Linked DNA regions of Kluyveromyces lactis. Each later gene encodes a partner of the first gene's protein in a complex. Links are inferred from orthologs where the notes say so. Each region holds a gene or a part of one and is shown in the gene's direction. Other genes may lie near its edges. The genes, in order: NUP170, NUP120, NUP133, NUP188, NUP116, NUP1 and NUP82.

What was found.
Region 2: NUP170 (region 1) and NUP120 share a complex: the UniProt entries of both Saccharomyces cerevisiae proteins name them as parts of the nuclear pore complex. The link is inferred for Kluyveromyces lactis from reciprocal best matches to the Saccharomyces cerevisiae genes NUP170 and NUP120.
Region 3: NUP170 (region 1) and NUP133 share a complex: the UniProt entries of both Saccharomyces cerevisiae proteins name them as parts of the nuclear pore complex. The link is inferred for Kluyveromyces lactis from reciprocal best matches to the Saccharomyces cerevisiae genes NUP170 and NUP133.
Region 4: NUP170 (region 1) and NUP188 share a complex: the UniProt entries of both Saccharomyces cerevisiae proteins name them as parts of the nuclear pore complex. The link is inferred for Kluyveromyces lactis from reciprocal best matches to the Saccharomyces cerevisiae genes NUP170 and NUP188.
Region 5: NUP170 (region 1) and NUP116 share a complex: the UniProt entries of both Saccharomyces cerevisiae proteins name them as parts of the nuclear pore complex. The link is inferred for Kluyveromyces lactis from reciprocal best matches to the Saccharomyces cerevisiae genes NUP170 and NUP116.
Region 6: NUP170 (region 1) and NUP1 share a complex: the UniProt entries of both Saccharomyces cerevisiae proteins name them as parts of the nuclear pore complex. The link is inferred for Kluyveromyces lactis from reciprocal best matches to the Saccharomyces cerevisiae genes NUP170 and NUP1.
Region 7: NUP170 (region 1) and NUP82 share a complex: the UniProt entries of both Saccharomyces cerevisiae proteins name them as parts of the nuclear pore complex. The link is inferred for Kluyveromyces lactis from reciprocal best matches to the Saccharomyces cerevisiae genes NUP170 and NUP82.

The regions. Positions count from the first base shown.
Region 1 is NC_006041.1:1,830,246-1,832,304, reverse strand, and holds the end of NUP170 (Nup170p), read left to right. Parts: coding exon 1-1,559; downstream 1,560-2,059. UniProt on the Saccharomyces cerevisiae protein: Functions as a component of the nuclear pore complex (NPC).
Region 2 is NC_006039.1:1,080,757-1,084,787, forward strand, and holds the start of NUP120 (Nup120p), read left to right. Parts: upstream 1-1,231; coding exon 1,232-4,031. Other genes in the region: FAR8 (Far8p), read left to right, coding at 1-847. UniProt on the Saccharomyces cerevisiae protein: Functions as a component of the nuclear pore complex (NPC).
Region 3 is NC_006037.1:703,054-706,982, reverse strand, and holds the start of NUP133 (Nup133p), read left to right. Parts: upstream 1-1,129; coding exon 1,130-3,929. Other genes in the region: rRNA-binding ribosome biosynthesis protein RPF2, read right to left, coding at 1-694. UniProt on the Saccharomyces cerevisiae protein: Functions as a component of the nuclear pore complex (NPC).
Region 4 is NC_006041.1:969,499-972,019, reverse strand, and holds the end of NUP188 (Nup188p), read left to right. Parts: coding exon 1-2,021; downstream 2,022-2,521. Other genes in the region: U6 snRNP complex subunit PRP24, read right to left, coding at 2,048-2,521. UniProt on the Saccharomyces cerevisiae protein: Functions as a component of the nuclear pore complex (NPC).
Region 5 is NC_006042.1:2,465,853-2,470,046, forward strand, and holds the start of NUP116 (FG-nucleoporin NUP116), read left to right. Parts: upstream 1-1,394; coding exon 1,395-4,194. Other genes in the region: KLLA0_F26686g (uncharacterized protein), read left to right, coding at 399-638. UniProt on the Saccharomyces cerevisiae protein: Functions as a component of the nuclear pore complex (NPC).
Region 6 is NC_006039.1:1,148,350-1,152,510, forward strand, and holds NUP1 (FG-nucleoporin NUP1), read left to right. Parts: upstream 1-1,361; coding exon 1,362-4,085; downstream 4,086-4,161. Other genes in the region: alpha-1,2-mannosyltransferase KTR1, read right to left, coding at 1-16. UniProt on the Saccharomyces cerevisiae protein: Functions as a component of the nuclear pore complex (NPC).
Region 7 is NC_006042.1:156,109-159,810, reverse strand, and holds NUP82 (linker nucleoporin NUP82), read left to right. Parts: upstream 1-1,138; coding exon 1,139-3,202; downstream 3,203-3,702. Other genes in the region: mannose-ethanolamine phosphotransferase LAS21, read left to right, coding at 1-342; MRPL37 (mitochondrial 54S ribosomal protein mL54), read left to right, coding at 548-844; SDH8 (Sdh8p), read right to left, coding at 3,349-3,702. UniProt on the Saccharomyces cerevisiae protein: Functions as a component of the nuclear pore complex (NPC).

The DNA.
Region 1 (2,059 bases):
GAAGTATTACAAAAGGTGGATCTATTGAATACATCGCTACTGCACTTCAAGAACGCTGTGGATCGTTTTGTTCCACCGGTGATGTTCTTGGCTTTAGAGCTGTCGAGCACTTGAGAAAAGCAAAAGAAATAGGACTCAGAGATCAAGAAACACTCAACTATCACCTAACCAATGCAGCAAAGTTATTTGAAAGAATAGTTGATGATGTGTCTTTAGATAAGATAAAAGAGGCTGTAGGTATCATGTTGGAACTTAATTACTACCCAAAAACCGTCGAATTTTTGTTGAATATTGCCAATGCGATGGACAAGGGTAAATTGGCACTTCAATATGTTGCAGATGGATCTTTGGAACACGATGAAAGGAAAAAATACTACAATGCTAGAGTTTCGATCTATGAAATTGTGTTCGAAACTTTAATCAAAGTTGACCAACTAGCTGCTCTGCCTGAAAATGTTAACAATCAAGATATTCAAAAAACCCGCGATGAGGTTTACAACGTTACTTTAAAATATAACGACAAATTATTCCATTATCAAATGTATGATTGGTTGGTACAGCAAAAGTCTGAAGAAAAGCTTCTTCAGCTAGACTCAGATTTTATTCTACCATACTTAGAAGAAAAAGCAGCGAAATCCCTAGAAATTTCCAATCTTCTTTGGGTTTACCAATCCAAAAGATCGCATTTCTTGGAAGCAGCTCAAATTCTGTATTCATTAGCTATTTCGGATTTCGATATTCCTCTACAAAACAGAATTGAGTACTTGTCAAGAGCTAACGTTTTCTGTAATGGAGTCTCTCCGCCAAGCCAAAGGCAAGCCATGATTCAATTATCTGGCATGATAAAAGAAGTTGTCGATGTAGCAAGCATTCAAGATGAAATTGTCCGTGCTCTCAAGGATGACCTCAGGATTGATTCGACTGTCAGAAATGAAGCCTTGCAACAACTTGAAGGCAAAATTTTGACCGTGACTGAACTTTATAATGACTTTGCCGCACCATTGAGTTATTATGAAATTTGTCTGCTCATTTTCAAAGTCAGTGACTTTAGAAATCATGAGGAAATCATATCGAAATGGGAAGAGCTTTTCAGTTCTTTCAAGGAACATTTATCAGAGAACAATGCTACGGATGAACTGGAAAAAAGCACTACTTTCATTAGTCTAGCATCATCAACAGTGATTCGTGTTGGTAAGAATGTACGTACCAGTGAATTTGTGTTCCCAGTTGTTGATTTATTCCCACACATCTGTAGCCTAATATATGAGAACCTTCCAAAAGAACACATCAAAGCAGGTTCAATTGCATCTATTTTCATCCAAGCTGGCGTCTCATACGACCGAATGTACCATGTTCTCAAAGATTTAATTGAAACAACTACCAGCTCCAACGATATTTACGAACAAGAGATGGTTTGGCTGATTAAAGAATGGTATCACTCTGACAGAAAATTGAGAGATTTGATACCACTAGAAGAAATTCGTTCCTTCGACAAGTATTCAATTGAAAATGACCCATTGGAAAATTACAAAAAGCGCACAGGTGATAGTGTGTTTTGAGTTACTCTAACCTTTCAGCGAGATGGTAAAAAAAAGAACAGCTTTAGTTTAAAACGTCTGTTGTGGTGTTTATTTCCCTTTGTATACTATATTGATAAATAACATTTTCACCCCAATCTTAATAAACAAAACAACTAATATCAATATTGCTTTCTTATGATGTTGCGATAAGTCTTTGGTTATGGAAAGAATATATTAAACCGAATTTCGACCTGCAATCTGCTGAAGAGGTATATAAAATTGTATATTTATGAAGAACCTCTTTCGAAGTGAAAAAAAAAAGCCTAGAGATTTCATTATGGAACGGCAACATATGACTTCATCAGCAGGTATTATAAGCAACGCTTTGTCCAGATCTAGGGAACTGTTGCAGCTAGAAATATGAGAATAGGATAAATAGAAGGGAAAACATATCAGAAAGATTTCAAATACTGCTTCGGTATATATCTAGAGCAAAAGGTGTGGAAGAATAGAAAATAATAGCATCGTAGACATTCGAC
Region 2 (4,031 bases), on another chromosome or scaffold:
GCTCATTGAACCTAGTTTGAACTCTAATGAAAAGGCAACCAAGGCGTTTCACTGTGTGCCTAACCTCTTGGGTATTTTTTGGTTGAATAAAACAAGGTTTATGACTGTGGATGAAACTTCCGTCAAGTTGTGGAACGTAAGCCAGAGCGACCCTGTCATATCTTGGGATGGCCTCAAGGATTTAGAAGGCTTACAATCTGTAGATTTCAAAAATAAATGGCTAATTTTGACTTTCGTTAACGAGATACGGGTCTGGGAAATTAAAATCGATGACTCCAGTATCGTTAAGGTTAATGAATTCGTCATTTCAGTCCCCAATAAGATTCTCAATTGTTTGTTGGGATTAACGGAAAAATCGCTTATAATATTAAATGGTAGTTCAAAACAAAACGTAAAGATTTCTATCTTCGACTTTCAAGGCTCCCTTTTACAACAAATCGATCTTTCTCATTCGCTGACCCAATTCCATCACACAAATAATGAATTAGCATTGAACAGGTCGACATCAAAATTGCTTGTGAGATTCGATACAGAAACTCTGATTTACTCTTTCGATCAGAAGAAGACCATTTTAGTGTCTTCTACCGCAGAATCTGCTATTTCCTCGATTTTCCTCAATGATTTGGAGTACACTGTCACCGCTTTGAAGGATGGTTCAATACTCGTGAAGTCAATCAAAGAAGATGGTAAAGTAATTAGAAAATACAATCATTATGAACACCCTGAGAAGGTTCCCGCTGAAGTGCAACCAATTGCCATTGCATCCACAGTCATAGATGATACCCCTGTAATCGTTTCTGGTGGCTATAACGGTGTGATACGACTAGAAAAAATTATGAGCTTATGAACGCAATGCTATAGTAATCAAAGCTGCCGCTATAATTCAAAGAGAAATATAGGAAAATAATCTATAATGCTCATGTAAAACAGTACAAGACGAACGTCATCGTCTATAGACATGGTATCCCCAGAGTACCTATATAATCCTCCTCACAACATGGAAATTATTGCCCAAGCGACCTTAAAATTCAGTTATAAGTTACCCGGATAATATTGTTTTCATGGTTACAACAACAATGAGAAAAGACATGTTGAAATCAATCTGACATGAAGTGGAATCGGTAAACAGAAGAGAACAGCCACCAGAGAACTTCAATTACAGGCTAAATCGGAACATAAACCTACAACATTACTATTGAACAGCTGAGAGGTAAAGCTGAAACTGCGAAAAATGACCAGCTTTTCTCGTCTGAATACAAATTTACTACAATTAAAATCGAAGCACTCATCAGACAATGCCCAACATTTATACGTCAATGGGAATGTTGGATCATCTACAGAAGAAATAACTTCCGTAGAGTACAGCAAACTGTTGCAACTAAAATTAATTGATGAATCGTTGTCCTTCCAATGGTGTAATAATTACACTGTTTTGAGTATTTACTCCATGAAGGAAACTTTTGCAAGGAAAACCATATATATCCACTTTCCAAAACCTCTTCTGAACAAATGGTTTACTGCAGTCGTATACGAATCTAGTGAAACGACCTCCAACCTATGTTTTGATGTGATTTTAAAGGATGGAATTTTCATCAACCTTTCATTGCCTATCGATTTTATTCTATCGAGAACTCGTCAAAATGAGTATCCTGAGAATTGGTTGAAGGTTTTAAACCCGTATGATTTCTCAGTACGTCCTCCACAGTGTCTATTTCATGTTGATAACACCTTCAGTGTAGTATTTCTAAAAGATGGTGGTCTTTTGGGGTTAAAACGTATTCCGCTCGAAATATTAAACGATTTTGAATTGCAACCTGTCCTATTCAATGATAGTTCATACTTTCAAAGTTTTACAAGAATGTTTTCAAAGTACGATAACCACAACTCTGCAGTGGTATCTGCAGAACTTTTGAATGACAAGTATCTTGTCACATTAACGAATGATGCAACCATTAAAATCTGGGATTTAACCACATATCAACTAAATGCGCATTTCGATCTAAAAGAGAAAAACCAGCAGGTGAATTATGGAGCTGCCGGAAAATACATGATAATTTGTGGATCTCTCCTGTTTGTATACCTACCTGCAGGTAATGGATCGTTCCAAGTCATTCAATTAGAAAATACGCATTCTTCAAGAATCTCCTTCAAACCATTAAACGTTAATATACCTCTCAATCTTTCATCTTATTCAATATGGTCTTTAATTGACATTCAATTAGTAAAATCCTCAATTGTCAAACAATCGGGACTCAACTTGGTTTTATTATGGAAAAGTAACACAGTGACCAAGCTACAACTACTCTCCTTCGAAGACTCTCTGTATAGTAGCTACAAATGGATTGATGGTAACAGCACATACCTCTCTGATTTGCTTGATGACTCAGACCTAATAACAAACGGAAATATGGAAAAGGCTCTCCTCAATCTCAAGTCACACTACTCACAATCAACGTACGATGACGCACAAAAGATACTGAATAAAAATAATGTCATGGTGCAGATAAATGATCCTCATAATCAAGATTATTTGAATAATCTAGAAGCTCTTTTGAAAGAACTTCATAAACAATATCAGGAGCCTTCAACTCTAACTATTCTTGATGATGAGATAATTGTTGTTAACAGCTTACACATGTATCATCATTCCACGTATAAGTTAGACTCACAACTTGAAACAATTTTCTTTAACATTTTTGAGAGAAAGGAACCCTCGTCTCAACTAGAGCTTTTCTTAAATATCCTGCATGGTTTTTCAACAACCATTACATCTGAAACGTTAAATAAGATATCTGAGAAGTTCTTAGACATGGTAAATGGTTCAATAAATCCCTCGTTATCATTGAAAAATAAAATTACCATTGTCTTTCAAGATTGTCTAACAAATGGTTTCCAAAGTGCTAATTTATCAAAATTGTTGGAAAATCTAAATTCTATTGATGTGGTGGAGGTTTTATCCGAATTTATACACTGTGATTTGAAAGTAGGTGCTTTTTCAGTTATTGATTTATTAGATACTGACATTTTCTTATCTGTTTTGTCTATGGAATCCTTGAAGCAGACACTCTCCATTATGGATAAGTTTATCATTGATATATTGTTAGTATTCACTATTGTGGATATCAACTATGAAGTTTTTGCAGAGAAGTTGTCTAAGTTAATTACCTTGCACTTCAATATCTCATTGTGGCTCCAAGTGTATCAAATAGATAAATTATTGGCAATTTCTGAGACCTTCGGTCATGTTACTAAATACAATTATGGTGCACAATTGAAATCTTACAGCGATATAACCGACTTTACTACATTAATGGTTGGTTTTGTCAAGAATTCTCCAACAGCTGAACCTCCAATATTTACAAGAGCCTTTTCCGATTTCATATTGAACGGCGAAGATTTGACTTGTGCAAAGCAATTCCTACACTTTGTTGCTAAGCCTTACCATGTGTCCAAGGATCCAGTAGAAGAACTACTATATGCTCTTTCTTTGTTCAAATGCAATGAATATGATGCATCTATTGAAATATTCTTGGCAAATGACTTCTCTGATGAGCTCTCACTACCTAAATATCTGGAGGTTACTGAAAATCACGTTTGGTACAATCTCCTTCATGCGATCAATACAAAAGATAAACCAGCATACTATTATGAACTTTCAGTTCTATGTTCCAAAGCTTCATCGTATGCTAATGCTTTAAAAACCATCAAAAAATCTATATCACTTGATGGTACAAGAGCAGATCAGTTGATACAATACTTAGATACATTGATAGTATTTGGCGATTATAAAGAAGTCCTGGATGTATTGAGGTTGGAACAAAAAGTCCTTGATATAAGCCTAAGAGAAAAATACTATTATACACTGCTGAGTGATCAAAAGTACAGTGAAATGTTCACTGCAACTTTACTCCAAGAATGCTACAATGCAAACATTTCCAACGGATCCATACTATTATGTGTGAGTGATTATAAAATTATAGCTTCAATTTTATCATCACAAGTTTCTCTCACTGATTGGAACAGCTATAAAA
Region 3 (3,929 bases), on another chromosome or scaffold:
AATCGAATCTTGGACCAATCTCTTCCAATTCCACTCTAGGTAACTTCTTACCACCTTGTTCGGACTTGTAAGTCTTCAAGTGATACACTCTGAATAGAACATTTGGTAATGGTTCACCGTCTTGGAAATCACCTTGGACAGTGATAGAAATGATATGTTGCAAACCTGCAACATCTTGCAAAGTGGTATTCTGACCTCTGAAAAAGTCAAGGAACAATGATTTGATATGCTGGTAAACTGGATGTTGTTCAAAGGCTGCACCTTGGAAACTGAACATTGGCTTTAACCCAACGTTAAAAGTTTGTTTTCTGAAATCAGACAAAAGTTTATAGTTTTCTGCAATCTGCAACTCGATAATATCATAGATCTTATACCCAAACGTACGAATAAAAGTCAAATTGTTTCTTCTCTTCTTAGAATGTGTGCTCAACACCATAAGCGATGTATCATTCTTTTCAGATAAAAACTCTAATGGTTCATAATCTTCAAAAGGTCTGATGTTGTTCTTCTTGGAGAATCTCTTGATATCAGGCTTCTTCAACGCACTCAAATCAACCATTGAATCATGCAACAACTTGGTAGAAGTTTGACCAGGAATGAATAAAGCTTGCTTTACATTCTCAACCAATTTTGCTTCTTTTTTATCCAAAGCCCTTTTAGCACGGGCATTCTTAGGCTTTACTGTTCTGATCATCCTGGTGTTTACGGTGTCTTGATACAAATCACAACAATTACACCTTATAGGATAGAAATCTGAGCCAAAAGATGAACTATGTAGACTGTAACTTAGCTCATCGCATTTAGCTCATCGCATCGATTTGTTCCAGTTTAAAGATTTAATTTTCCAAGTTACTTGATAAGTGAAAAGAAACTATTCCAAAGTCACGTGGCGGAAAATGTTTCACGTGACATCACTTATGACGATTTCTTTGGCGACAATGAAAACAGAAACATTGACCAAGATTTTAAACAATGAGCATCAGAGAGTCTATTTACCTTTATAATTACAGCAATGCAAGGTCAAGCTAGGTTCGGCTAACAAGGTAGTGGATCAATTGAGATTAGAATTTCAAAGTTTTACATTTGGTGATTCTTTTGGCTTTTTTTTTCAGTGTCAAGATAGTACAAGATGAAGCAATTGTTTCAGCTCAGGAAAGAGCTTAGTGTACCAGCAGCAGCACCAGAGGATTCAGTAATCTCTGCTGAGGAAACGACAACTGGTTCTGCTGTCACCAATGTACAATTTTCGAATGAACAAGTTATCACAGAGAATGGGAAGTATAAGGTATCGAAGTTAGCGCCAAGTTTAAGTTTTTTGCCCAGTAATGTGGAATTATGTTGTAGCGTTGATGCAAAATCTGGGTACGCCTTATGCTGCGATACTGATAATGTTTACGTTTGGCCATTTTTATCTTCTGAAACACACCCTAGTTTTGTAAGGATTCCATTACATGACGAGGAATATGAATCATGGTCCCGTCCTCCATTATGTTGCTTTACGTGGCCTAGTGTGCTCGAACGTGACTTGAAATCAAGCCCTGGCTTATTTTTAGTGAACAGTAGATCCGGTGACATTCAATTCTATGAAGATGTTGATACTGTGAGTCAAGTGGCAAGTTTCTTGACGCAAACCAAACGTCATAAATCAGTTTTAAAACTACGTGACGGTGAATATGTAGAGAATTTGATTAATGCAGAACCAGCTGGAATATTACTTTCGACAAATTACGGGCGTGTTGAGTTTTGTACTATAAGAGATGCTAACGGGAAACCTTTTGTATCGCTAAAACAAACCATAATAAAATGTCAAGTCGGAATCTTTTCATCCATGTCCAAATCAAAGAGAGTGGTATCTCTCAAATTGGGCGAAATCAGCGGTAAAGGAGAAAGAATAGTTTCTATTTTAACCCAGGGCGGGCGATATCAGGTGTGGAACCTTTCATCTGTTGGGAATTGTTACAAAAAGATCGATTTAAATGTACAGTCTGAAATTTCACAGGCAGTCTTAGAGCATTTCCCCTTGGCAACATCTACACTGAAACTACTCGATTGTCATCCTTTATCAGGAGACTCGGATGCATACTTGTTCTTGAGTTTCTTAGCGGAAAGTAACGAAACGCACTATTTACTATCAACCATCATTGTGGATGAAGATACTAACAGTTTCGCTATCTTCTCTACTTACAGATTAAACACATACACGCGACCATTATCAGATGAATTTGCCCCAAGACTTATAGTCCCAACTGCATACACCAAGGAACATTTACCGATAACGTCTGTTTACACTTTATTCTCTGATGCTGCTGTCCTAACTCAAACAAGTTCCAAATTGGACTCTAATTATCCATTTAAAAGGAAATGGGAGGACATTATACGGTTTAACAAAGATATGAAAGTTCTTGGGTACGATTGTAATTCAAGTTCCTTATACATTACTGATGGAAGAACATGTGCGTTAAAGTTGGAGACTTTTGAAAAATACGAAAACTCTGACTTCCAAGAAATTAGATTCATAAAGTCTCATGTGGATCAATACGTCTATTTTGGAGGACAATCAACGGATTCATTACTAGACTTCAACTTACCTGACAATCTAGATCTACAACCACAAGAAATTGAAACAGATATTCAAATGTCCAGTGATGAGATTAAATATGCATTATCAAACCACATACCGCCTGTTGCTAACAACCCCATGAAACACTTAAAAATAAGAAGCGAACTTTTTGAAAGACTTCTCACATTTGTTGCTCATAATTTTTTGGATCAAACATCTTCCCAATTCAAACTGGACTTGATTTCTGATTTTGAAATGATAAAATGTTTGGAAAGCTTGTACTCTTTACTACCGCAACAACCAACATCTATTTCACAAGCTTGGAAGACAGTACTATCAGAAAGTTCCTATCAATCGGATTCTGATTTTATCTCAGACGGCATTGTTAAGATTCCAGAATTATTGGGCGCCTTTTTGAAGCATTTGAAAGACCTAATGAAATCCACAAATGAAACTATGTTAAAATCTCAGATCGCAAAGCTTATAAATCAACTAGTTTATCATTCCATATTAGAAGAATGTGAAAACAGCTACAGGTATGGACTTTTCCAGATGAGCCCAGATGATGTATCAAAAAATATCCCTTGGTTCACAACAAATAGCATAATAGAAAATCTTAATGACATCTTCTTCTTGTTAAGGCATGCCTCTGAAGATCTTGCCGTTGTGTCAGAATTTGTAGAGGAATTACTGCTATTGGTTAAGTCTCTATTTTATATGGTCAGGCAAATAACCATGTGGATTGATGCAAATGCCATTACTGATTCTAGTTATAAACAGTTTTTCGAAGAAAATCATTTACTTTGGAATAGGGTCCTTAGGGATGTTAACAGGTCTCAGGATTCAATTCTAATCACAGATTTTTACCAAGACTTTGAAGGCTTAGTTGAAACTTTGCAATCTCTGCCAAAAATTACCGCATTCTCTCTATACGATGAATTCTTCCAGAAATACGGATACGACTTTGCAAAATCCTTATTTTCCTACTATATCAAGGAAGGGCTATGGGATGATCTTTACGAATCGTTTGGTGAAACCCATTCAGAATATTTGGACCAGTTCTTAGGAGAATGTCCCGAGTATGGCAAAGTTAAATGGATTGGAAACATATATTGCCATAAATACGACGAAGCAACTACAACTTTGTTGAGTATTTCTACTGGAACTCAATCGCTGGGTCAAGATTTGAAACAAAGACAGGCACAATTGAGTATTGCCAAATTAACAGCTCTTGCCGCGGAAGTTCAAGATCTTGAAAAGCTAAACGAAATTCAAACCGAATTAGATCTCATCGATGGGCAAATTCTTCTATCCCAAGAACTACAAGAATCAACTCTCAACCCACTATTCAAAGACTTTACCACCTATC
Region 4 (2,521 bases), about 860 kb from region 1:
CCCCAAAAAAATCAGAACCATCGAATAGCGCCTCTGAAACATCAATTCTTTCTCTCCTTAAGAAAAATGTCTTGAAGCTAGATTGCTACCCGGAATCTGTGGCTTCTCGACTTCTTGAAGCAATCTCATATGCATTCAACTCTTGGGCTGCTGCAAGGAATAATACAGCAGATAAAGAATTTATAGATTTTCTCGTCAAAAGGCTAGAAAAGTTCGAGGACAAGTTGGCTCCCGATTCGGTTGAGGCGACGATTAAATTATCCAGTCACTATCGTCTTCAAGCGAGGATTGCTGAAATATTTGCCCTTCATCTATTCACCTCTTCACCTTCAGATTCCACCATAACAAACATGTTAAATGGACCCCAACTTGTTGATATCGTTAAGAGGATATTTTCTATAGACGGATATGATAAAACTCTTCATTTGACTCTCGCAGAGGAATTCAAAAAGATTTGGCCTCATCTGGATATAGAAAAATTCGCTATTTCACCACTTTATAGAATCGGTAAGGCGTACCAGGCGAACATATATGACATTGAACTTCTTGATCAGTTCTTCTGTTGTGAAGAAAAATGGAGAGGGAACGGGTCCACTCCAGGGTTTAGAGAACAAGTTATAAAAAGCTCTATCAACTTACAATATGTGTCTTTCCAAATTTCAGCAGCAAAATCATGGGGAGCTCTTTTGACCGCATTCATTAAGAAAACTCCAAAGCCTTTACAAGCTTCATATGTCGATATTGTTACCCAACTACTCGCACTAAATGTTGAGCATGGTGTGGAGGCACCTATCTTCTCTGAAATATACCTCCTAAGAATCGAATTGGTGTTTTACATACTGTATTCATTCTTACAAACTTCTATGAAGATACCTGAGGATAAGCTTGAAACTCTATTGTCACAGCTTTTGGCAATTTTAAAGTCTAAAGAGGTAGATTACCTCGGAAATATCGCACAATCGAATAAGAATAATCAATATAGACCTATTCTTCGTTCGATTTTGATGTTGTTAACTTTGGCAAAACCTTACCCTATGTTTTCAGAAAGATATTCTGATAGTCTATTGGAAGTCTTCGAGTTAGCTTTTTCAAAAGGTGTTAATTTGATCTTGTCTTCTATATTATTCTCATTCACAATAGCCTCCAACAAAGGTAAAAAAGTTATTGTGCCAAATCTTGCCGACAAAATTCAAGATTTGTTACTATTACTATCCCTTTTCACAAAAATCAAAGAACTGAACCCTTCGACATCCTTTAACGCTGTATTGGCATCCTCGCTAAATGAATTTGGAACCTTAAAATCACTTTTGAATCTTTACTACAGTTCATATCTTTTCAGATCTCATGATGAACCCTTATTCGCGGAGCTAACCCTGTCATTCATTTCTGAGCTTGTCACAATTGAAGAAGTTGCACAAAAGATTATAGATAACGGGCTCTTCTCTGTGTTCTTGGAAAGTCCGATTTCGGTGTCAATTCAACAATCTGGGGCTCGCCCAGAATTATCACCAAGATTGCATAACATATGGTCCAATGGCATCATATCGATTATTCTTCAACTATTAAGTAAATTCGGATCTGGAATACTTTCGGAAGTGTGTCTATTTGTTTCATATTTCTCCAAACAAATAGATCTTGCTGTGGGGGGCTGGTCGTCTGACTCACTGTCCATAACTCAAGCATATATCCAGGAGACTTCCCAGATAATTCTTTTGCAGAAAATGCTAGATAAACTTGAATATCAGCGTTATTTGTCTGTTAATGGTTCCAAATTGAAGGTCATTGACGAAGAAGAGATAATAGAGTTGTTCCCTGGTTTAGACACTAGCTCTGAGAGAAACGATTTGGCAAATGTATTGAAACATTTGTTAACTCACCCAAAGTATATGAATTCTCGGATCATCGCGACAACCCCAGACAAACAAAAGATGATGGAAGATGAGGTCTATAGAAATCAGCTTCTACATTCTATCACCAAGCAAATCTCAGAACTTCAATCATCCTTGATGTCAGATTTATAAACAGGTAGGTTTATATAGTATTAATATTATTTAGATAGAAATAATTTTCTGAAGTCATCATTGCTCAACTTTTTGTCATTTTGTGACGCTTGCTGTGATTTAATTTCCTTTACAACAGCGTGCTTTGGTTGATTCAAGGTTGTTTTGTGTTCATTGGGATAATGAAGGGAAAGTTCATGAGCAGAAACACATTTCAAAATTCGGTTCTTGAACTTGTATCCATTGATTGCAAGTGAAACTTTTGCGGTAATTGCTTCTTTGTCCGCTATTATTAAAGCACCTTCATGATCAGAGACCAGCAAAACCTTCGTAATATCCGGAGGTCTAATTTGAGCTTTCTCCGTAATGAAAGCAAGAATTTGATCTGGGGTAATCTGATCAGACAATGGGTATATTCCGACAACTTTTGGGTTTTCTTTTCTGGAAGCAAGCAGACGCTTCACCTCTTGTCTTTCTAGATAAGCCTTTCTCATAACTTTTGAAACGTGTAATGGCTTACC
Region 5 (4,194 bases), on another chromosome or scaffold:
TTAGGCTGATGAAAAGATCGGTGTTTGAAGTTCCTGCTGAGAGGTTATTGTGAAAGTGTCAAATGATAACGCACATTAACGGGCTGCCTTTTGATTCCTTTGCCCACAGAAGTGGTCCATTTTGTTTCAGAGATTTAACCACAATTTGTTAGTGTGTTATTGTTATCTTGTTGTAGTATATTTTATGGAGGTTATATATATATAAGGAATAACCTTTCAGTTGTTGACAAGGCCTATGTAATAGATTCGAGGTTGTCTGTATCTTGTATTGATAAGTTAAAAAGTGTAAGAAAGACGTCTCATAATAAGGAGTAACACAGGATACCGACCTCCGAATAGGCTTAACAAGCGCCTACTACAATATACCCATTAGCGTCCCCGTTTGACAATATTCAACAATGTTCACAGACAATTTTGGAAAAGCCAAAGATACGCAGCAGGTTTCCCAGGTGATAGTACAATGCTTCAAAAGTTTAAATTCAGTTCCCAGATCGACTCCAGACCTAGAGCAAGACTATTGTGATTCTGATGAAGAGGAAGATTTGATCGTGGATTTAACGACAGGGTCGTTAAAGCCCAGGAATTTGAAGAATTATCTACTTATGAATGAGGTAATGAATGGCCTAGAGAGCCTATGACGCTATGGTATTAAAGCCAATAAGGGGGTTTCACATCTACTTTATTGTGTCTACCGAAGATTTGCATACCAGAGAGATGCATCTTTTAATGCCTTTACTGCCTGGCTTTATCTCTCATTTTATTTTCATTTCTTTCGACTATATAGAACATATATACTTTTTGGGTAATTTAACAGACGGAATTCATTATATATAACATATTGGAATTAAGTGTTTCAAACAGGGAGCCAACTCAGAATTGCATTAGCAGCTGTTCCCTTGTGCTCAAGTAATTACTGCTACATCACAATCCCCCAAAACTACGTATCACTACGTACGCTATGTCACTTAATACGATTTTAGGTCATCCCTCACCTCTGAAAATTTCTTTATCCTTGAAGTAAACAACTAATTGATGATAAAGAACTAACGTTTTCTAAGTTGATGCAAGCAATGTTTCGGCTTATATGATTTGTCGTATTTGTCTTTCAGTCATACTATCAGCAACTGAGACCAATAAAAGTATTCATACAGTGCGTAAAGTGGGAAATTTTTTTATAGATCGTTAATTGATTAGTGTGTTTCTTCTTTCACAATCAGAGAACAAGGACACTCACTCATCTTTAAATTATTTCTCAGAAAAATACCATTGAACCAAAACGCTACGACTTTGGTATTATCTACTTAGAGATTACTTGTGTCATTGAAGGACATATTATTTTATTCCTAGTCAGCTTTTTCATCAATTGTCACCTCACTTGATTTCCTGACCCACTGATGTTTGGTGCTTCTCGACCGGCATTTGGACAGACGAGTACTTCTCCTTTTGGCCAACAAACTCAGTCAACAACCAATGCGTTCGGTCAACAGCATAGTGGAACCACAAACAATCTGTTTGGATCCAGCTCTGCCAACAACGCGCAATCAGGGTTTGGTGGGTTTGGTACCGGCGGCGCTAATACAAACCCTACGCAAACTATAAATTCCCCATTCGGTATGTCACAACAGCAAAATACAACTACTTCTCCGTTTGGCGGGGCAGCAGCAGGAGCAGCAGCAGGTAATTCATTGTCGAACCCACCATCCCTGTTTGGTGGTAGCCAATCTAGTGGTACAGCGACAGGCGTTCTCTCTTCTGGACCTCCTTCTGGCACTGGAATCAAGCCATTCCAACCTTATACGGAAAAGGATGTGTCAACTGGATATCCATCGGTGTTTCAATCTATTACTTGTATGCCTGAATATAGCCTTTATTCGTTTGAAGAGTTGAGGTTCCAAGATTATCAACAAAATAGGAAATTTAGCACCACTGCTGGAGGTCCGACAGCTTCTGCTATTGCTTCGCCATTCGGTCAACAACAGACAAATGGTACTAACAACACTTTTGGTTTAGGAAATAAAAATACCATCAGTGCAGGTGGCGCAACTCCCTTTGGTCAACAGCCTGCAAATTCACCTTTTGGCCAGCAACAGCCTGTAAATGCATTTTCACAACCTAATAACACTCCCTTTGGCCAACCACAGCAGCAACAGCAAACTGGCATGTTTGGACAACAGCAGAATAATTCTCCATTCGGGCAAAATACTGCTTCAAGTTCTTCTCCATTCGGTTTAAACAAACCGGCTACCTCTGGAGGTCTGTTTGGACAAAACACCACCAATAATAATTCCGCATTTGGTCAAGCCAACAACTCATTATTTGGTCAACAAAACCAACAGCAAAACCCAGGTAACGCATTTGGTCAAAATACTGGTTCAAACACCTTTGGGAGCACTTTCGGCCAAACAAACACCAACAATCAACCGGGTGGTTTGTTTGGACAAAATAACACCACAGCGGCCAATACTGGTGGACTTTTTGGTCAACAAAGTAACGCCAATAACGCATTTGGTCAGAATAATAACACCTCAGGTGGATTATTTGGATCAAAACCAGGTGGAACTACAGGTGGCGGTTTATTCGGTCAGCAAGCACAGAACGGACCCTCTCCTTTCGGTCAACAAAATGCTGCTAATTCTACTCCATTCGGTCAGGTAAACAATACTCAGGCGGGTGGATTGTTTGGACAAAACAACACCAATACTGGCGGAGGTTTATTTGGACAGCAACAACCATCTAACACAAACAGTACAGGATTATTCGGACAACAAAGTAACGCAGCTAGCACTGGCGGTCCTTTCGGACAACAAAATAGCAACTCCATGAATCAACAGGGCGGAGGATTATTTGGTGCGAAGCCAACTACCGGTGGCCTGTTTGGATCAAACAACCAAAGTCAACAAGGTTCAACTGGGTTATTCGGAGCTCAAAATAAAACTGTAATGGGTGGTAGTTCCGCGCTGTTTGGTCAAAATAATCAGCAACAACAATCTGGCGGATTGTTCGGACAAAGTAATCAACCGTCTGCAACGGGGGGGTTATTTGGTAATCAGAACCAACAAACACAGCAACCTAACACCGGTGGTTTATTTGGTCAGCAGAACAACAGTATGGCAAACAACACCGGAGGATTGTTTGGTGCAAAACCAACAGGAACTACTGGTGGATTATTTGGCCAAAGTAGTCAGCAGCAGAATACATCTAGCGGATTGTTTGGTCAAAATAACAACCAGAACAACACAGCAACGGGGGGTCTATTTGGTCAAAACAACCAGCAACAAGGTCAATCATCGGGTAGTCTCTTTGGTGCCAAACCTTCCGGCACTAACGCTTTAGGAGCTACCAACGGCGGGTTATTCGGAGGCAACACACAACAGCAGAATACGGCTACTGGTGGTCTATTTGGTGCCAAACCAGCTGATAGTGCGTCAACATCTGGTGGCCTTTTCGGCACTAAACCAACAGGTGGTTTGAGTAGTACCACTGGAGGTGGATTATTCGGTGGAAAACCTGCCGGAACTGCACCTTTTGGCGCAACAAACACGAACAATGCCTCATCAATTGGTGGCGGAAGTTTATTTTCTGCGAATAAGCCAGCAAATACTGGTTCGACAGGATTATTTGGATCACAAAACAACACTTCTGGTAATGCAAATACAGGTGGTTTATTCTCTTCATCTTCCTTGCAACAAAACCAACAAATGCAAAACCAGCAGCAAGCAGCACAAGCGAACTCCAATCCATATGGTACGGATGAGCTATTCTCCCGTGTTATCTCTATTCCTAATTCCATTACTCAACCAACTAAGCCTAGTGCCACAATGGTTTCTGCAGACTTGAAGAAAAAGAACTCCCTCTCCGCAGCATACAAGCTGCTTCCAAAACCCTTGTTTGACTCTAAAAAGTCGGAACCGAACTCCAGAAAGGTTAAAATTCATCTAAAACTATCAAAACCCAAGGAGGAAGACACTAGTTCGACTGCTCTAACAAGAAAGCCTATGGATTCTTCAATTTTCACTGCATCTACTGATGAGGCTATTTTAACTACCGGAGAACTCCTCTTTAATCCAGACAAAAAGTCTTTCAAAAACCTTATCATCAATCGCCAAAAGATGGAAGAAGATGATACCTCATCTGGTGAATTGAAATTCATAATCTTCAATACTGACGACGGACCACAAAAGAAAATGGAACAGA
Region 6 (4,161 bases), on another chromosome or scaffold:
TTCTGGTCTCGCTCATGGCTTATTGAAAGATTACTGAACAGCTTTCTCCCAACCTATTTCCAATTGAAATAAAGAAAAATAGCGGATTTGTTAAGAAGAAATCAACAACGACCAATGTGGTTTCAGGATATTCACGTCAAACGATCAAATAACTTAGTAAAGCACCTAAGGAAACAAAAAACGATACCGAGTTGTTAAAGGTAAAATGCCTTCGTTTGTAATTTTTCAGTTTTCTTCAATTGAACAGTGGATATACGCTATTCTAATATCACATTTTTCTCGAGGCAACCCAGATTCGATCAGGGAATATTGAAAACTACAAAAAAAAAAAAAAAACTATATGATACCATTAGCAGAGCTCAGCCATAAAAATAGCACATTTATGACATTTATGACATTTATCGATCTCCCACTTCATGACTCGTAGTCGAAGGCATCGTGCGATGTTCCACTGCCCATTTTCTTCTAGTGTAATGATTCTTTTCTTTTCGGATTTAGACTTATGTGTTCGTTTCAGTCTTCTGTCCCTTCAAGGTGTTTTTTGGGATTTTCCTTGACCGATATGGCCTCTTCGTTTCGGAATCAAGCGGTCTGTTCTGTGGTGTCGAAGCCTCATAACCACATTCGGTGTTGCACTTTTTACTTGATTTCCTCCATGACGCGTTCTTCAAGGTTTCCCCAAACTAAAAAAAAAAAAACAAGATGGGACGAATGTATGACAGGATGGGGAGAAATCGGTCACGTGATAATCTGAATTTCACAAGAATAGAACACTTGTACTGTTAAGCATGGCATTGATGCACACTACGTTCTATCCTGTGCGTTCTTGCAGTTTAACGTTAAGTTTTTCTTTACTTATATATCAATTTGTTCTTTTCGATCCCTCATGTCACTTTCAGGCCTTATGTATAGAAAAATGAACAAAACTTGAGTTCTATATAAAACTTGAAAGCTAAAATAACGAAAAAGGGTACTTTTGTATTAAGTGGACGGCAAATCTTTAAACTTTCATAATGTAGAATCGTTATAATAAATTTTGGATAATAGTCGAGCCCCATATTGATGTTTTGGAACTAATGCAAATTTATGTCCATCTCCTAGCTAGACTCTCTTATACTGACGCCTTGGTTAGTTTAGGTCAATATGTGTCAAACCGTACAAAGTGATTATAACCCTGTAAGAGGAAAAAAATAACAGCTAGGAATGTTAGGACTTGAAATATCGAATTATCAAATATCGAATAATACCTTTATTAATACGCAAGAAAGTTACAGAAACAGCAGTTTCGAAAGAAATAGGAATCGAAAACTTGAATTGGACTCTGGTTCACTTGCCGCATATCACGGCCACTTTATAGAATAATGTCGGCATCATATCTGGAAAAACCCAAAAGATCGATTTCATCGACTTTGGCATCATTATTTACCAAGCATGACGATACGAATAGCGAAGATCCGAATATAACAAGGTCGCACAATGAAGATATCAGTGATTCAGGATCAGTGGTCATCAAGAGGCAAAAACGTGGCTTCGACGGTTACGAGGAATTGGTTTGGAATAACGAAAAAATCACCGATCACCCGTTAAATCACAATGGCATTGATGATATCAATTATGATGAAAGACCGAATATTTTCTTGTATGAAGGGGATTCTGAACATGGTGTAAGGCCTCCAGTACTAACGATAGAACCGAAACAAAGATTGCGGCTACTAAGGATGCAGCAACTGCGCCGTGCTCGGCAATTCCCACTTTTACAAAGACAATTACAATCAGCAGAGAACGGCCTATATCGCTTAACAGACGGCAAAAATGCTACTATAAAGAATTTACTCGTCAACAAACTACAAAGTGACAAGAAAAATCATAGGGTTTCCGATAACCCAAAGTCCAAGAAGTGGAAAGCTGATTTTCAATACGATTTATCAGAATATGATATCTTGAAAAACGACAAAAAGACGAAACCAGTATCTGCCTCAATGGGGAATTTGGAATCTCCTAAACTACCACATCCATTGCTAAAAAGGAGTACCTCTTCAAAGAAACATGTCAATACTTTTGATCAAACAGGAGTGCCTAGTGGATCTGGCTTAACTGATGTTCAAAGCAGGTTATTACAAGGAAAGACATTGCAAAAAAATCCAAAGATAGCACAAGAAGTAGTTGCACCAACACTATCATTGAAACCTATCGTCAAGGAAAAAATATCAGAAGATAAAGTTTTAAACGCTAACGGCCCAAGTGTTGGATTTGACTTTATGAATAGAGACAGTACTTCTATTTTCCCAGGTAGCACAGATACACCTACCAAACCAACAGTATCCAAAAATATATCTTTTGGAAATACCAAATTGGATTTATTCAACAATGATAAACAGAAATTAACGGCCCCTTCTCAGGATTCTGAAGAGTTACCAAGAAAAAAGAAAGAATTTAGTTCTACTGAGGACACTGTTAAACCATTTCCCTTCACAAGTTCTAAGTCGCTGGAAACATCAACTGAACCATCGAAACCTGCTTTTTCTTTTGATGCGGTAAAAAAAAACAACACAGCTACAGCCAATGGAGGCACAAAAATCTCAGATGGTGCTCCTTCTTTCACCTTTGGTGATTTATCAAAAACCAAGAAAGAGACCAAAAAAGCTGAAACATCCAAAAACCCCTTTGAGAAATCCGCCCCCGAACCTGTTGAAAATCTGGCTAAAGACGGCCTCCCTAAGTTCAGCTTCACTGGTGCGGATACAACTGGGATATCAAATATACCTACATTTAGTTTTGGAAAATCTTCAGAAGGCAAAGAGATAGCTAAACCCGCCCCTTCATTCAGTTTTGGCAGCCAAAAAGATGCAGGCGAACCAACTAATGTCAGTGAAATGTCAAAACCTATGTTTAGCTTCAACAAAGGAAAATCATCTACTCCAGATCTGACCCCATTGAGTACCTCTCAATCAACTAATACACCTAAACCACTATTTCAGTTTGGTTCCAGTGGTAGTACTGAACCTGCCGCAAAGAGACCAGATGGTACAAAAACTGAAGCACCAGTGCTGCCATCATTCAGCTTTGGTGGTAAACCTGTAGGAAATGATTCGTCAAAAAATATTGAGAAGGAAAAAGCTAAACCTTTCAGTTTTGGGCAAGCTTCGAATACATCAGCATTTTCTCTCAACCAACAGCCTTCAGCAGACAACGCGACAGAGAAGCAGGAAGCCAAAAATGCCGTCAGTACTGCTGTAAAACCTGCATTCTCCTTTGGTAGCACCCCAGCAGCCCTACCTTCTGATACAACCCCAAAAGAAGCTGCTGCACCATCATTTTCGTTCGGGACCACAAAGAAACCTGTTCAAGGTGATATGAGTTCGAAACCTGCATTCTCTTTTGGAAGTTCCTCTGCCATCCAGCAGCCCTCAATTGAAAAAGCTTCCAATGCAATTCCTTCGTTTGCAAGTCAGAACACCAGTGGCCAGCCTGTCAGCGGACTCAAATTTGATTTGACAGGGTTTAAAAATAATAATAGACAAACTACTCCGACTCCGTTTTCAGATTCATCAAATGTTGGATCTGCTCGTGGAAGCAACCCTCCTGTCCCATTCTCATTTGATAATGTCGTTCAACCTGGGAATAAGATAAGTGTAACGCAGCCTACTCAAACTACATTTACTTTTGCACAACAAAATCAAAAACCATTTACTTTTACTGGAAGTGGGCCAAGCACTACCAACAGTTCACCTGCATTTGGAACCAGTTCCAATCAGCCTAATGTACCTTTTTCATTCGGCGGAAGCTCAGCTTCTTCCACTCCCCAGGTACCAGCATTGGGTACCGGTTTCGGTAATTCTATGCAGACAAACACATTTAATCCTTCAGCCGCTGCCAATTTTAATTTTGGTGGTCAACCATCTCAAAGTCCTTCTGTAGTATTTGGATCCCAAACCCCGCAACAGAATCCATCGTCCATATTTTCCGCTGGTCAGCAGAATCCAGCGGACATATTCAATGCGCAGGCTTCAACTCCTCAAGGAGGGGCACCATTTCCACCGCAGCGCAAAATTGCTATGCCCGGTAGGAGAAGAAGAAGAGGCTAATAAAGGAAAACAAAGGCTTTGCATCTCAATTGTAACAATTATTGCATGATATCATTCCTTCCGACATCTTTACATT
Region 7 (3,702 bases), on another chromosome or scaffold:
TTTGGTGGTACGAACTCCATTGCAACTGTCAATCTAACTAATGCATACAATGGTGTTAGTAGCAACTATAACATATACGTTGTTGGTGTATTAATGTTCTTGTCTAACTACGCACCATCCATCTACTGGGCTCTCTCACTAATTCCTCAAAGCTACAAACAGAAGACACTACGCTTGCAGCATTACTATATCACCGGAACATGTCTAATGATAGCGTGCATTGCACTAAGGTACCACCTATTCATTTGGTCCGTGTTTAGCCCGAAACTATGCTACTACGCGGCCTGGTCCCTCTATAATGTCGTCATGGATTTCGCCATTACCCTGCTTGGCGTTTTGTGAATTCTTAGTTTTTGAATGAAAAATTTCGATAAAATCAACATTTTGTACCATAGAAATTCAAATTGGACTGTAAATGATCATGAACTTTGATAGCCGCAAGGCAGGACAAACTTGCCAAAACTTATTGTTGAGGTTCGAATTGGTATCGGCAACCACATACCCACCATAACAAATCGGTTATTTTTCATATTATATAAAGAGAGAAATGTTGAGAGTGACTCGCGTGCTATTTAACCAAGTGAAAAGCGAGGCATCTGGCCAAGCTGCCAAGATCGTGTCATCATGTCCAGCTGGCACTCCATTGAACTTACAAATCAAGAAATCCGGTAAGGAACCCGTGGCATTAGAAGACAGCGAATACCCTGAATGGCTCTGGACAGTGCTTGATGCCAACGTCCAAGCTGAAAAACTAGCAGCTGATCCAATCAAGCTAAGAAAAAAACAATTAAGGATAGCCAACCGTGCCAACATCAAACAAAATAACTTCTTAGCAAAGATTTAACGGACCCACAGTATGATTCACGCCTGTAAATATATATACATATAAAAATGACATAAAGACACATATCTAACATAACTTTTTGATATCTTTCGTACACTTCCTTTTCTGCAATACTGGATCTGCTATAGGTATTTTTTTTTTTTTACTATTAAAGTTCAAAATATTCAAAATATATCGACGATGAACTACTCTCACGCTTCTTGAAATACACGTAACACAGATCAACTGGCGATCTAACTGTGGTACCTTCTCTTCCATAACTTTAACTGCCGGATATTGAACCAATATAGTGGGATGTTACTCTTCAATACAGAAGATTTGAAGGCAATCTTCCAGGAAGTGTCTCTGAACCCTTCCGACCGTCTTGTCTGCAACAATTCCAACACTATTTATTTATGGCAGGACAACATCTTAAGAGTGCAATCAGACCACGAAACGCAATACAGGAGTTATAATGTGGAGCTTCCATTCGTTCCAGAACAAATGGTCATCAGTCCGTCGGGGGGCCTTGTAGCATTTCATGCGAACAGCGAGCTCTATGTCATGGAAGTGAATGAGCAATCTAGATTAAGAAAGCATTTCAATACCAGTCTAGGGATAAAAAAACTATTATGGCATCCTCTGGCTACTTATGGGTTATCTTTCGTTATTTTGCATGATGATAGTACAATTCGAATTTATGATCTTGAAGACCTAGAACCCGAATCTATCACTGTTTTCAATCGTAAATCGAGATCATTTGGGTTATCAGACCATGTGGAATCAGTTTGTGACATTGCATTTGATCCAACCGGTTTGACACTTTATCTGCTGAGCTCCTTCAATTACTGTGACATATATGCTATCCATCCGTGTCTACCAAAGAATTTTTCCCTACGCAGTAATGATACATCAAATGTCACATCAAGGACGAAAAATGGTTCTTTAGCGGATTACATGTTGCACAAATCATTGTCTTTATACAATAGCCTCGATAAACAGCTAAAGCTGATATCAGGTTCAGATCCTGATGTGGAATCCGATTACCTCACCTTAAAGCATGATCTATTGAAACAAATTCAATTTTTCGACAACTATAAAAAAAATGATGGTATAGACACATTCACGAGCAAAGCAATCAGGAACTCTGTACCACAGGGCCCGTTCATTATAAAAAAATTTCCGACAGCTTTGAATGCGAAAGAGGTCACAGGCTTGACAATCATACCGGTTGGAGAACGTTTGGGCCTTTTGAATCTTCAATTTATAGATGGAACAAACGTTGTGTTGTTCTCCGATTCTGAAATTGTCATGAGTTGGAGTTTACGCTCCAATACTACATTCAATAACCTTAGTGTAATAACAATGTTCAATGCAAAAGGTCAATGCCAACTACTAAACTCCTCGGAACCTAAATTAGTATTTACTGGTGATAGCTCCACGACTATCATGGAAATGCCATGGTTGGAACCATTGGCACAGTGCATAAGGCTTCATGACTTCTCTATCATTGATGATGTTAAGTTTGAAAATAAAATAAGAACAGTTTCAGGAACTTTCCTCGGTGTTTTATCTACCTTGTCTGGTGATATTCTTTACAACGGCAATTCCTTCAAGGTCATCGAGAGTAACGACAAGAGCACCACACAGAAACCCATAAACAGAACCGATGAAGTGAAATATACATATAAACCATCGTTGCCAACGTCTGGAAAGGAATTGGATATGCTTTTGACGAAGTATAAAACAGAAGCCAATGGATTCATTTCAGGCATACCGGACTCTTTGGCTCCTCTCCCTTTGAAGAACAATTCCAATGAACGTCAATTGGAAGTGGTTTCTGAACTTTACAAGGAAACCATGAAGCGCGTCAAGTTGGGACAGATGATTTTATTTAGAATGTTCAACAAATCCAACGAAGAAGTGGCTGAACTCCATCGCCAATTAAGAAAAACCAACGAGATCGAAATGTTGAGAAATAAACTTAACGGAAACTTGGGAGACCTCCAAGAAAGATATTCCAGGTATGAGGAAAAGTCCAAGACGTTGGAAAAACGACTTGACAAGTTAAAAGAGACATTCTCCAGTATAGAAAATAACGAGAAATTAAGAACAAGCAGTATCAGCGAGGCCGAACTAGTGTGGTTCAAAAGTATCAAAAACCAGGTATTAAAGTTCAATAACTATGTACATCTGACAAACAAACTTCGCGAAGAACTAGAGTTTTTGGACACACAGCTTAGATCAACTACTAAAGGAGACGATTTCTTTTCCGAGCTAGAATTTAGTTCCCTACAACAAATGTTACTGAACGACAAAAAGGTCATCAATTCTTGTATGAATGAGTTAAGCGCATCCATTGAAGATCTAGCGGTATAATAGCAATCACCATCTACATATCTTTTTTTTTTCGTTTTTAGTTTTAAAACTGGCATATACCTTACTATATTATGTGCTACTTTTTATATCATTTCATTATGTGAATATGCTACTAACCGAATTTTGTTTTAACGTGTGAATGGCGCTCAAAAATCGGTGACTCTTCCGTTGAAAGAATAATCACCATGCCTTAATGGATCCTGCTTTGGTCCACCAATTTCTCCTGTTTTAGGATTCTTTTCGCCTTCGAACTCTGGTATAGTCTTCATAAATTCTGGAGAAAACCCACCAATATCGTTCTTCAAGATTGGCGATTTCACCGATTCCATAGTATGATCCGATTCAAACTGTGCATTATAAGAATCAATAGCTTCTTGAGAAGACGCTAGCTTCTGCAGCCTTTCAAACTCTTCCTGGTCTTCCTTTGGTAATGGTGGTGGACCTGCTCTTCTTTCTTGAAATGTTCTAATTTGATTCAACCTGACAAAGGCTGGTCTTAG